Canis lupus familiaris: one gene and its partners. The protein of the gene in region 1 interacts with the protein of each later gene in a biochemical or structural test. Links are inferred from orthologs where the notes say so. Each region holds a gene or a part of one and is shown on either strand. Other genes may lie near its edges. The genes, in order: STAM, USP8 and ARRB1.

Region 1 (4,427 bases):
GTGGGGAGTTTTTACTATAATCTACTTGGATATTAATAATGATCTCTTGCACTTATTTGGTGCTTACTATATGCCAGGCAGGCACTCAAGGGCTTGGTTTGTATTCATCCGTTTGATCCTTCACAACCCTATTATTATTCCTGTTCCTCACGGATAAGAAACTGAGGCGCCAAGAGGTGAAGTAATTCATACCACTTCTTAATATTGGACAATGTTAGTGGTTCACAATACTTTGGTATTATAAAAACAGCGTTTATATCGTTGTTCATATTCTTAAAAAATATCTTTCCCTGCGTGGAACCAGCTTCTCCCTCTGCCTGTGTCTCTCATCAATAAATAAAATCTTAAAAAAAAAAAAATCTTTATGATGAATTCCATGAAGAACTGCTGGGTCCAGAAGAGTTCTCATTTCTGAAAGCTCTTCTAACAGACGTTCAGGGGTGTCCTTTGGGAAGACCCCGTTAACTTAGACTTCAGGCAACAACGTGAGTCCACGATTCCCCACATCCCATTTTAATCCCTGTCGGACAAAAAACGTCATCTTCACTTTTGGGAACGAAGAGTGTTCATTGTGAACGGTGCTTGTAAGCATTCTTCGTACACCGATCCCGTCGATGACAAGTCCTAGACCCTTGTTTTCCACGCTACGCTTCGAGGTGCTCTGATTTAGGTATGATCCACGTAATTCCACTTTGAGCGCAAACGCTCCTCCTCTGTCCAAGCGGGACGCAAAGCGTCTGGGTGCTTTCCTTAAGAAATCCGACACGACGTAGGCACCGCTGGTTAAAACACTCCTTAAAACAACAACAACGACAACAAAACAACAACAAAACACTAAATAAACGTTTTAAGTCCTTGGGAAGCCCTCATCGAGTTCCAGCTCCATCCGCAGCTTTGTTTTGGGATTTTGCTCGGTCTTCGCGGGGAAGCGGGGTTTACCGTAGAGTAAGTCCCAGGGCGTGAGCCGTATTTTCCGAACATCGCCGCCGCTCAGGGACTGCGCGGTTAGTCAGGAGCCTCGGCCTCAGCCAGAGGCGCTCCCGACCGGGCCCCGCAAGCAGGCGTTCGCGGGCCGTCGGGACGCTGCCGCGTTACCTCAGCCTCTCCGGAGTCGCGCGCCCTGACACTCCCCTCCCTCCCCAAGGAGTCGGGCCAACGGGTTCGGCTCACATGACTTCATCCAAGCAAGTTTCTGGTCACCTCAGGCAGACACCGAACTCACGGCTTTTTAACTTCAATACCCCCCCGCCCCCGCGAAGGCGTGTCCCTCCTCCCTCCCTGGGGACCATGAAACGCTCACAGCCCACGGCGTGCGGGGCGAGCACGGGGTCTCGCTCAACGCTCACGCGATCCTCTTTCTTTCTCAGCCTCTGATTCACTCCGGGGCTCGGGGGGCGGCCCCGGCGCGCCTGAAGGACCCCGTCCTCCGGAGACTCCCGGCCGAAGCGAAGGCAGAAGACGCAGGCGTCGCTCCCACTCTCCGGGACGACCGATCGCAAGGGGAGTCAGGCAGACGGGGGCGCGTTGGCGGGGCCGGCTTCGGGGGGCCCGTTCCGGGCAGCTTCTGAGCAGGCAGCGCCGAGGTCGCCCCGGTTCCCGACAGGCTCCGCGCGCGGGAGGGGCTTGTCTGCGCCTCCGCTGTTGCCGCCGCAGCCGCCGCCGCCGCCGCCGCCGCCGCCGCCGCGGTTGCTGGGGGTCTGTGAGAGGTGGGGCTGTCGCCACCCCTGTGGAGTCCGTCCGCGTTGCCGTGTTTGCCCGAGGCAGTCTTCCCGCGCGCGTCGCCCCCGGACTCCCGTGGTGTCGAGGGGGAGTCCCCGCGGACACCCGGGCACGCAGCGGAGATGCCTCTCTTTGCCACCAATCCCTTCGATCAGGATGTTGGTAAGCGCTCCTGCCGCTCCCTGGCCACCCCGCGCGGGAGCGCCTGCCCGCCCTGCCCGCCCTGCCCGCCGGCCCTGGGCGCGCGTGCCCGACCCCCGCCGCGGCCCGCCGCTTCGCCTTCCCCGAGGCTCCGTCCTGAAGACTCTGGAGGAGGCTGGGGGCTTGGCTCGCCCTTTTGGGGAAGAAATGGGACTCGGAGAGCCTGCGAAGTGGGCCTTAGACTAGGGCTGTGGGCTTCGGGAGCCCCGCTGTGGAGAGGGCTGGTGTGGGGGGCCTCGGAGGAACAGCTGGTGTGGCATCTGGGGCTGGGACGGCGCCTCTGCAGGACGGGGAGTGGAGGGCGGAGCAGCAGGAGGTCACCCAGGGGAGGACTATAAGCCCTCCAATAAAGTGTTTCCCTGGACAAATGTCAAACGTTTGGAACTAGGGGGATGTTGTAGGTTAGCTTCCGTAGGGGATTTTAGGATTGATTTATTTATTTATTTATTTATTTTTATTTTTTGCAATTGTAACGGGTGGAGGGAGCTGCTGGCTAAGGGTAGAATCACAAAAATGTCGGGAGAGGTGAAAATGGAATAGTTGGCAACAGCTGAAACCGAACCGGGGACCTGAGCCACTGTGCTGCCTTCTTTAGGCAGTGTCTCAGTATTTCACGAAGTGTGCAAGAGGACCTTAAATCTGGAAGTGCTGCCTTGTTTTAATTTTTCAAATGTCCCTTCTGTTTTGTTTTTCTGTTTTCTGAATCACTGGTTTGGGGTCCTGACCATACCAATTCAACAGGTTAGGGATTCCCCCACCTCCCCACTCTCCTGGGTTTGAGGGTGATAATTACAGACTTTGAGTTTCCTGGAGTAGAATTTTGGGGTGATTTGGATGCACTTAGGAACTACTGTGGCACACAAGTATGGAATGAAAGCAAGCCAGGTACCGTGACTAATTACTATAGTAAAGAAATGTAAGGACACCCTTAGGGAGTTGCGTTTTTTTGTTTTTTTGTTTTTTTTTGTAAGATTTTATTTATTTATTCATGAGACATACACAGAGAGAGAGAGGCAGAGACACGGGCAGAGGGAGAAGCAGGCTCCCATTAGGGAGCCAGATGTGGGACTGGATTCCAGGATCCCAGGACCACGCCCTGAGCCAAAGGTAGACTCTCAACCACTGAGCCATCCAGGCGTTCTGGAGTTGCTTTTTATTATTTTGTTTAATTACAAATGGTAGGTGTTGATTTTTGCTTTTTAACTCTTCCTTAGAACATGTCACTGAGGCTTGGAGGTTTGGGTTAAGACTAGAAAATGGGTTCAGTCCCATCTTGGCCACTGCCTAGCTCATGGTGAGATCATGGGCAAATCCCTGAAGCTCTTTGAGTCCCAGAGTGCTGCTCATCTTTAAAACGTGGGAAAAAACACATTGTTTGTGATTCCGTGAAATGATACATGTAGAGGGCTCAACGAAATAACCTGTATAGTGCCTTTGTAGAGTAGTCATCTAAGTGATAGCTATTTTTGGTGGCAGTTTAAATGCATGGCCTGAATCAGCAGTGGATGGAACTTTAGAGATGGCCAATAATACTTAATAAATAATTGGAAAATTGCGTTTAATTCAGTAAGCACTTAGCACACAGTACAGATGGTCCCCGACTCACAATAGTTCAACTTAACGATTTTTTGACTTTAGTATGGTGCGAAAGGGATATGCATTCAGTAGAAACTGTACTTTGCATTTTGAATTTGGATCTTTTCCCGGGAAAGCCATATGCAGTCGGTATGATCCTCTCTCATGATGCTAGGCAGTAGCACCCACCTGCAGTTCCCAGTCACCCATGCAACCACAAGGGTAAACTACCAGTATACTTGGGCCATTCTGCATTAATACAGGCATTCTGTTTTTTCCCCACTTTCAGTACACTGTGCAATAAATTATATGAGATATTCAACATTTTTTTAAATAAAATAGGCTTTATGTTAGATTTTGCCCAAACAGGCTAAAGTAAGTTTTCTGAGCACACTCTTAAGTAGCCTTAGTAGGTTAGCCTAAGCTGTAATGTAGGTTAGGTGAATTTACTGCAATTTTGACTTAGGATATTTTCAACTTACGTGGGTTTGAGACCTGACCCTATCATAAGTCTAGAAAGATCTGTATTTATAGGAAATTGTCTTAGTGACATCACAGGTGAGTAAGACATGGCTGCTGCTTTCAAGCAATTTTATCACATTACAGTAATTTCTAGGGCAAATGCTTAAAATAAAACAATTTCTTAATACCTCTGTTTTCAGAACTTTTATCTGTTTTTCATAGCTGCATATAATCTAGTTTCTAACTACATTCACTTTTATATTCTACTGCCCTTTTTTTTTTTTTAAAGATTTTATTTATTTGAGAGATACAGAGATAGGGACAGAGATAGCAAGAGAGAGCACTAGCGGGGAGGAGAGCAGGCTCCCTGCTCCTAGCCGGATGCGGGACCCCGGGCTCAGGGTTAAGGATTGGATCCCAGGACCCTAGGATCAGATGCTTAACCGAGTCACCCAGGTGCACTTATCCTA
Region 2 (3,647 bases), on another chromosome or scaffold:
CCAGCAAGACTTCCTGAGACACCAGGTAGAGTGCAGACACGCAGGACTGCTTCCCTCCACCGTAGGCAGCACTCACCACGCTCTGCACTCTTGTTATGGTCGGCTCTCTCATCTGGGTTCCCCACTAGGTCATAAAGTTTGTGAGGGGATTGTTTTCTTCTAGTTCTCTGTTATATCCCTCATGCCTGGCAGAGTAACTTATTGAGTAGACATTCAGTGATACTGTGAAGACAGGAATAAGTAACTGCTACTTGTTTCTGCCTCCAGGATTGCCTTAGATTATTTTCCAAAGAAGAGAAGCTCACAGATAACAACAGGTTTTACTGCAGTCATTGCAGAACTCGACGGGATTCTTTAAAAAAGATAGAAATCTGGAAGTTGCCACCTGTGCTTTTAGTGCATCTGAAACGGTAAACAATTTTTTCTGCCATTTAGATGAAGGAATTCTAAGTCCTTCATTCTAAGTCATTTTGTTGTACTGCCTGCTAAGGATGCATTGCAAAGGAAAATATCTGATTAGGGAAATAAGGCAGAAATGAGGAGACTCTAGTTCCTTACCTTAGTGTTTGCAGTAACAGCAAAATGACTACATGACTCTTTCATGTAATGTCATCTTTTTTTTTTTTTTTCTTTAAAGGAAATTTAATTATTACATTTCAAATACAAAATTTGGGGCAGCCCGGGTGGCTCAGCGGTTTAGCACCACCTTCAGCCCAGGGTGTGATCCTGGAGACCTGGGATCGAGTCCCACTTCAGGCTCCCTGCATGGAGCCTGCTTCTCCCTCTGCCTGTGTCTGTGCCTGTCTCTCTCTCTGTCTCTCATGAATAAATAAATAAAATCTTAAAAATCTATTTAATATATATTTAATATATATTTATGTTTATTATTTATAATATTTATATATAATTTTATATTATAAAATATCAAATGAAAATGTATTTATACAGTATAATACAAATGATTAGCCAATAAAATTTATCAAACAGTAAACTAAAAAAGGATTTAATACTAGGCTGAAAGTGAAATAAAGAATTTTTTAAAGATTTATTTAGATAGTGAATGCTCATGTACAGAGGAGAAGTCTGAGAAGTTTGAGACAGAGTCTTAGATTCCACACTGAGCATGGAGCCCAAAGTGGGGCTCGACCTCATGACCCTGAGATCACGACCTGAGCTAAAACGAAGAGTCAGGCACTTGCCCAGCTGTGCCTTGACTCTTTCTCAGGGGTGCCCTAGGCATCCCTGAAATACAGGATTTAAGTGTAGTCTTAAAGATGTTAAGGATGCCATTGTTGGGTGCAGACATTTTTGTCCAGATTTCTCCAGCCAGTGAAAAAGATCTGGTCCTCTAATAGAGAGTTATAAAACATGTCCTAAGTGTTTTGATTTTTTTTTTTTTTCTGGTCTTTGTATATAATCTATCCATGGAGTGATAACAGTGGGTCATTGTTTGATCTTTTTATTGAGCTGTAATTTTAGTTTCAAGAAAGCACTTCTATTTTAATTATTTGCTTCATTGTATTACTGGAGATTCTTTGGCAGTTATATTTTCAACATTGACGTGTTCAAATTTCTCATGTAAAATTTTTAACAGCAGGCTGTGAATCAGTTTTTGTCTTCTTGAGGATTGTGGAGGTATAAACATTCTATAAATGATTACACATTTGTTCAGTTAAAATTTTTAATGCTGCTTTTACTCTTTGCAGAATATCTGAAAATATAAATGGTTCAGAATTCAGTTTTTGAAAATTCTGATATAAGAGTTCACCAACATACCAGTATTTTGATGTTTAAAGGAGCAGAATATGTCAGGATCATGGAATGCCATTATAGTTCACCTTGCTACCTGAGAGTAGAGTATTCCTGTGAAATCTTTCATAAAGCAAAACGGTGAAAAGCAAAGAAGCAGTTACCATTAATTTATATGGAAAATCTTGAGCATTCCTAAACCCCAAAAATAACCTTCTCTTGGGCCTTTCTGATGCCTTAGGACACATCTTGCAAAGAGATGCACAAAATACGTCAAGGTAAAACACAGATGCCGACAGCTTGATGCTGAGTATTCCGGGAAAGACTTGGTGGTGCCACTCTTGCTGCTCGGCAAGGTGCCTGCTGCCTCTACCAGCTTACTGCAGAACAAATACTGCCAAATGCTATTTTCACTGTTCACCTTTTTTCTTAAAAGCAGAAATCCTCTTGGATTTCTTTTGGTTAGCAAAAACAAGGACTAACGTAAGTCTTCTATTAAAGCAGCGTAATGTCAACTTTTGAAAAGGAGGGGATACCTGTGTAGTCTGTGTGCTTACAGTTTCCAGCTCCAGCTTCCCCAGCAGTAGTCTGTCCTCTGGACATGTGTGGGGACTAACATTATAAACATGGGTCTTTGTAGGTTTTTGGCTTTGTAGAAAACTCCTCTCACAGTTCTGGCTGGCCTAGGGGTCCGGGGACCACGGTAAGATTCGTCTCTACCCCCTTAGCTGTTTGACTTAGGGCAAGTCATTTCATATCTGTGTGCCTCTGTTTTCTTGTTTGTAAAGAGGAAATGAAGCCAGATGTCTTTATAGGTCCTTTCACTACTGAAATTCTGAGTATTTGAAATGGGGTTTATGGTCCTGGCTAAAAGTTTAGACTATCGAGGAATGAACTAGAGTCATTCTGATATTTTTGGTCTGTCAGTATTAATTAATGTCACGTTTTGCTCCGCAGTTTTTCCTATGATGGCAGGTGGAAACAGAAATTACAGACCTCTGTGGACTTCCCATTAGAAAATCTTGACTTGTCACAGTATGTTATTGGCCCAAAGAACAATTTGAAGAAATATAATTTGTTTTCTGTTTCAGTAAGTATCTTGTGAACTAAATATTTTCATATTTTGTTTAGAAAGAAAGAGTTGCAAGTGGTTCCTTCATAGGAAAATAACAGAAAGCTTTGAATTATTTAAAATATGTCAGTAATTTCAATATGAACTGATTGTCCATCTCGTTTGACACAGAATCACTACGGTGGGCTGGATGGAGGCCACTACACTGCCTATTGTAAAAATGCGGCAAGACAGCGGTGGTTTAAATTTGATGATCATGAAGTTTCTGATATCTCTGTTTCTTCTGTGAAGTCTTCGGCAGCTTATATCCTCTTTTATACTTCACTGGGACCACGAGCAGCTGATGTAGCCACATAAGGAGAAGTAGGTTATAAGCTAGTTATCTTTTAAGACGCTGAGCGAAACAACTCGACATACTTATACTGGATAGCTATAGCTGGCCCTTTAGAGGAATTCTAGGACAGTGGGAGCTATGTTATTATCACCATATATTTTAGGTCAGTGCTATTATCAAAAAACTGACTAATAATATTTAACAACTATTGCAGTAAGCACTCCTTACAGGTACCATTTATTTCAAAACCTTTATAGTTTGCTCCAAAGTTAAAGTAATTAACTAGCTAAGCATTATTATTCTACCAGGTCTAAAAACCATTCTATCCTTTTTTTCCTTTTTCACTGTTATGGCCTTTTCACATTTCTAAATCCCAGCTTGATCTATGAATACTCTAGAATGATGTAAAGCAGATAGGAATGTATGTGTATATATTTATTGCACACTTGCACATCAAATCAATGTACATAGTATAATATGTGGTCCTTTTGT
Region 3 (3,647 bases), on another chromosome or scaffold:
CCCTGCTCTCGTGCCTGTTCCTCCTCAAGGCAGGCCCTGCCCTGTCTTCTGGCGAGGAGGCGAGGCTGGCCTCAGCCCCCCACTCTGATGCACCCTGCCTCCCCAGGCAGCCGCCCGCATTCCTACCGAGCCTGGCTGAGGGTGGCTGAGGGAGGGCACTGCGGCTTCTTAGGGAGTGGGCTGAGTTTGCCACCTGGCGGCTGAAGAGCGTATTGAGCATCTCCATCTCCAGCCCAGGCAACTCCAAGGTGTGGGGAGATGGGACCCTTCTCCCTGGCTTCTCTGTCTTCCTTTTCTTCTTCAGACCTGAGACCAGGGGAAAGATAGGGGTTCGTGGGTTTTTGAAGGGGGCCTGACCGGAGCAAGGAAGAGGAACGACACTGAGGGCCACTGCCTTCACCCTATGCCAGTGTGACATTTTAAGTCCACATCAGAGATACTACTGATAATGATATAGCAGCTATCGTTTATGAAGGGCCTATTAAGGACCAGACACTATTCAGGGTGGTGAACATGTAGGAACTAATTTAATCCTCTCAGCAACCCTGGGAGGTAGGTGTTGCTACTGTTGCCATTTTACAGATGAGGAAACTGAGATCCAGGGGTGAATTTTCTCAAGGGCATATAGTTAGTAAGGGGCAAGCTCAGACCTTCAGCCTGGCTGTCCAGTTCTAGGGGGTGCAGGTGAGAAATGGGGATGCTGGCACACCCAGCACATCGCAGGCACTGCCTCACCAGATCCCATCCCCTCCCAATCCTTGTATCCTCGTTTCTTCCCTAAGCCCCTGTCCCTTTCACTGAGTCCCATCTCATCTCTGGGCCTCCATCTATTCACTGGGTCCCCATCCTTGTCACTGGCCTACATCCCCCTGATTGAATCCACACCCCCTCACTGAACCCCGTCACCTCTCTGAGCCCCCACCTTTTCATGGGGTCCCTCTGCAGATTTTGATTTAATAGATATTTGGAAGGCATTTGTTATATGGCAGGCACTGTCATAGATGTTGAAAACACAGCAGTGAACAATTGAGATAAAAATTTTGCTCCTTAAGGAGCTTACACTATTAAGTAAAGTAAGGGATGTGGGAAGTGAAACATAGTTCCTTTCTCGCCATCCTGCTGGCTGCCAAGGCACAGATCCACATGAGGGACTGCCATGGGGTGGTTCAGCTCCGCTGGTGTGGGAGTTAAGACCGGGACAAGATCAAGTGAGCTGATCCAGGAAGGTTTCCTGGAAGAGGAGGTATTTAGCTGGGTCCTGAAGAAGGAAATAAATGAGGGTAGAAGCAGGAGGAGAGTATTGCAGGCGGGGGTCCGGTGTAAGCAAAGCTGCAGAGACAGGACGAGATGAACCACTGAGGATGATAGTGAGGAAGTGGGGGTGGCTGTGTACACAATGGGGGAGGATGGAGTGGGGCCAGGTGGTGACAAGGCCTCTGTGTCCACCTCTGCAGTTTGGTCTGGATTGTAACGCCGGGGGAGCCATGGCAGTCTCCTGAGGAGGAAAGGGAGGGTTATGAGGAAGGAGGATGGAGGCAGGTGACTCTGGCTATCTTTTGCTCTGCCCATCTCCATTAGGAATTCTGTGCGCCTGGTGATCAGGAAGGTTCAGTATGCCCCGGAGAGGCCTGGCCCCCAGCCCACAGCTGAGACCACCAGGCAGTTCCTCATGTCGGACAAGCCCTTGCATCTAGAAGCTTCCCTGGATAAGGAGGTAGGAGGCTTGGACTTGGCAGGGGGTGGGGGCTGTTCTCCTGGGGCTGGGACATCTCATCCCAGTTCTCTCATGGTCACCAGGGCTCCTGGGGTAGGTAAGAGCTTCTGCCCCCAGTCCTAAGACCACAGGGTTCAGGGAATCTGAGACATCCCTTAGGGGGCTGTGGGGAAGCCTCTGGGGGCCTAAAGGAATGGCAGAGTGGGGCATGAGCCTGAGGGATACAATCGACTTTAGAAGTCAGCGTGCCTCCTCTCTGCCTCTCTCTCTCTCTCTCTCTCTCTCTCTCTCTGTGACTATCATAAATAAATAAAATTAAAAAAAAAAAAAGAAGTCAGCGTGCCTCCTGAAGGGACCTGAGTCTCGGCCGTCTTCCTGCACCCCGTCCCCCTCTTAATGTGTGGGCACTGCCTCTCTCTCTCTCTCTCTCTCTCTCTGTGGATAGCTGAGGGCAAGTGTTGGCCACAGATTTGAGTTGAGGTCCTTCAGTAAGGATTCAGAGCCAGTTCCCTTGGTGAGCAGGCCCGTCTTTCCCCACCTCTCTCTCCTGCTTCTTCTAGGCCCTCCTGTGTCTAGAATTCCTGGCATCCCAAGCCAGCAGGGACTTGATACATCACCTAGTCCAAGTCCTCCAGATGGGGGGAAGCCGAGGCTTAGCCAACCTGTCCAAGGTCACACCGTGTTCATCCTCTTTATCATTATTATAATTAGTGTTCTCATTATTTCTGGTCACCAAGTCCAGACTAGAGCCCAGGAATATCACCTCCTCATTCAATTATCTTTCAAAATCCTGACAAAGAACTGGTCTAACATGCCCAGTGACTTAGCATCAGTGGGAAGTGGCTGATGAACTTGAGGCCAACGTCAGAGTGGCCAAAGTCTGGGGAACCCTAGGATATATGATGGGGCCTCTTCTCCCTCCATCTTTCTGGAGCTTTAGTATCCTCTGGTCCAACCCTTCTCTCTTCTTCTGCCTCCCAGATCTATTACCATGGAGAACCCATCAGCGTTAATGTCCACGTCACCAACAACACCAACAAGACAGTGAAGAAGATCAAGATCTCGGGTACCCCGGGTGGAAGGCCACCCCATGGGGCCAGCAAGAGGGAACTCTCCCAAGGGTTGGGGGTGGCTGAAGGTTCTCCCCTTGTTAACAGCCTTGTAGATAACTATTGGCCCGCAGGAAAGCCCAGGGCCTACTCTAGGCCAAAGGGAAAGGCTTTTGAGGCTAGTAACACAGGCTACTCATTGGCCAGGTAATGAGTTTACTGTTTAAGTCACCTACCCTCTAAGTTCCCTGGGTTCTGGGCAAAGCTGTCCCTGAGGGAGACCTTTGGTGATGGAAGGGAACAGGTGTGTTCGGGCTACCCTTTGTGTGGAAGATGAGGGTGGTCTCTTGAACAATCTCCCAGTGCACTCTGGCCATTCTTGGGGCTGAACATCCCCAACTCAAGGGAGCCTGGGATGCCCGGGAGCTGCAGTCCTGGCTCACACCACCTTGTCTCCCTCTCCCTCTCAGTGCGCCAGTATGCGGACATCTGCCTTTTTAACACAGCCCAGTACAAGTGCCCTGTGGCCATGGAAGAGGCTGAGTAAGTGAGCACAAGCCCATCCTTGGATGTGTGGGTGGGGAAATGAGAAGCCCTGGCTGTAGTTACAGATGCAGATGGTTCTTTTCCACCTGACAGAAGGCTGGATCTCAGACTTCCTTGTCGCTCAGAGTAGATCATCCCAAATAGCCTTTTAAGAAAACACCTGCTTGGTTTAGCTACAAGAAAATACATGCCACAGTCAAGGGACAGACCCATTAAAACTAGAATGACCAAATGAGACCTAATGAATCAAAGGGAACTGGGGTTGTAATTACACTGTACCAGAAACCTAGGTTGAAGGACATACTTTGCTCTGAGCTTCCTAACAGCCAAGACAAAGA

Evidence for each region.
Region 2: the proteins of STAM (region 1) and USP8 form a complex in vitro, tested with the Homo sapiens proteins (2 studies listed by BioGRID). The link is inferred for Canis lupus familiaris from reciprocal best matches to the Homo sapiens genes STAM and USP8.
Region 3: the proteins of STAM (region 1) and ARRB1 form a complex in vitro, tested with the Homo sapiens proteins (2 studies listed by BioGRID). The link is inferred for Canis lupus familiaris from reciprocal best matches to the Homo sapiens genes STAM and ARRB1.

The regions. Positions count from the first base shown.
Region 1 is NC_049223.1:18,289,264-18,293,690, reverse strand, and holds the start of STAM (signal transducing adapter molecule 1), read left to right. Parts: upstream 1-1,623; 5' UTR 1,624-1,841; coding exon 1,842-1,881; intron 1,882-4,427. UniProt on the Homo sapiens protein: Involved in intracellular signal transduction mediated by cytokines and growth factors. Upon IL-2 and GM-CSL stimulation, it plays a role in signaling leading to DNA synthesis and MYC induction. May also play a role in T-cell development.
Region 2 is NC_049251.1:16,694,671-16,698,317, forward strand, and holds part of USP8 (ubiquitin carboxyl-terminal hydrolase 8), read left to right. Parts: intron 1-267; coding exon 268-410; intron 411-2,706; coding exon 2,707-2,839; intron 2,840-2,992; coding exon 2,993-3,178; 3' UTR 3,179-3,647. UniProt on the Homo sapiens protein: Hydrolase that can remove conjugated ubiquitin from proteins and therefore plays an important regulatory role at the level of protein turnover by preventing degradation. Converts both 'Lys-48' an 'Lys-63'-linked ubiquitin chains.
Region 3 is NC_049242.1:23,399,628-23,403,274, forward strand, and holds part of ARRB1 (beta-arrestin-1), read left to right. Parts: intron 1-1,578; coding exon 1,579-1,714; intron 1,715-2,695; coding exon 2,696-2,780; intron 2,781-3,233; coding exon 3,234-3,306; intron 3,307-3,647. UniProt on the Homo sapiens protein: Functions in regulating agonist-mediated G-protein coupled receptor (GPCR) signaling by mediating both receptor desensitization and resensitization processes.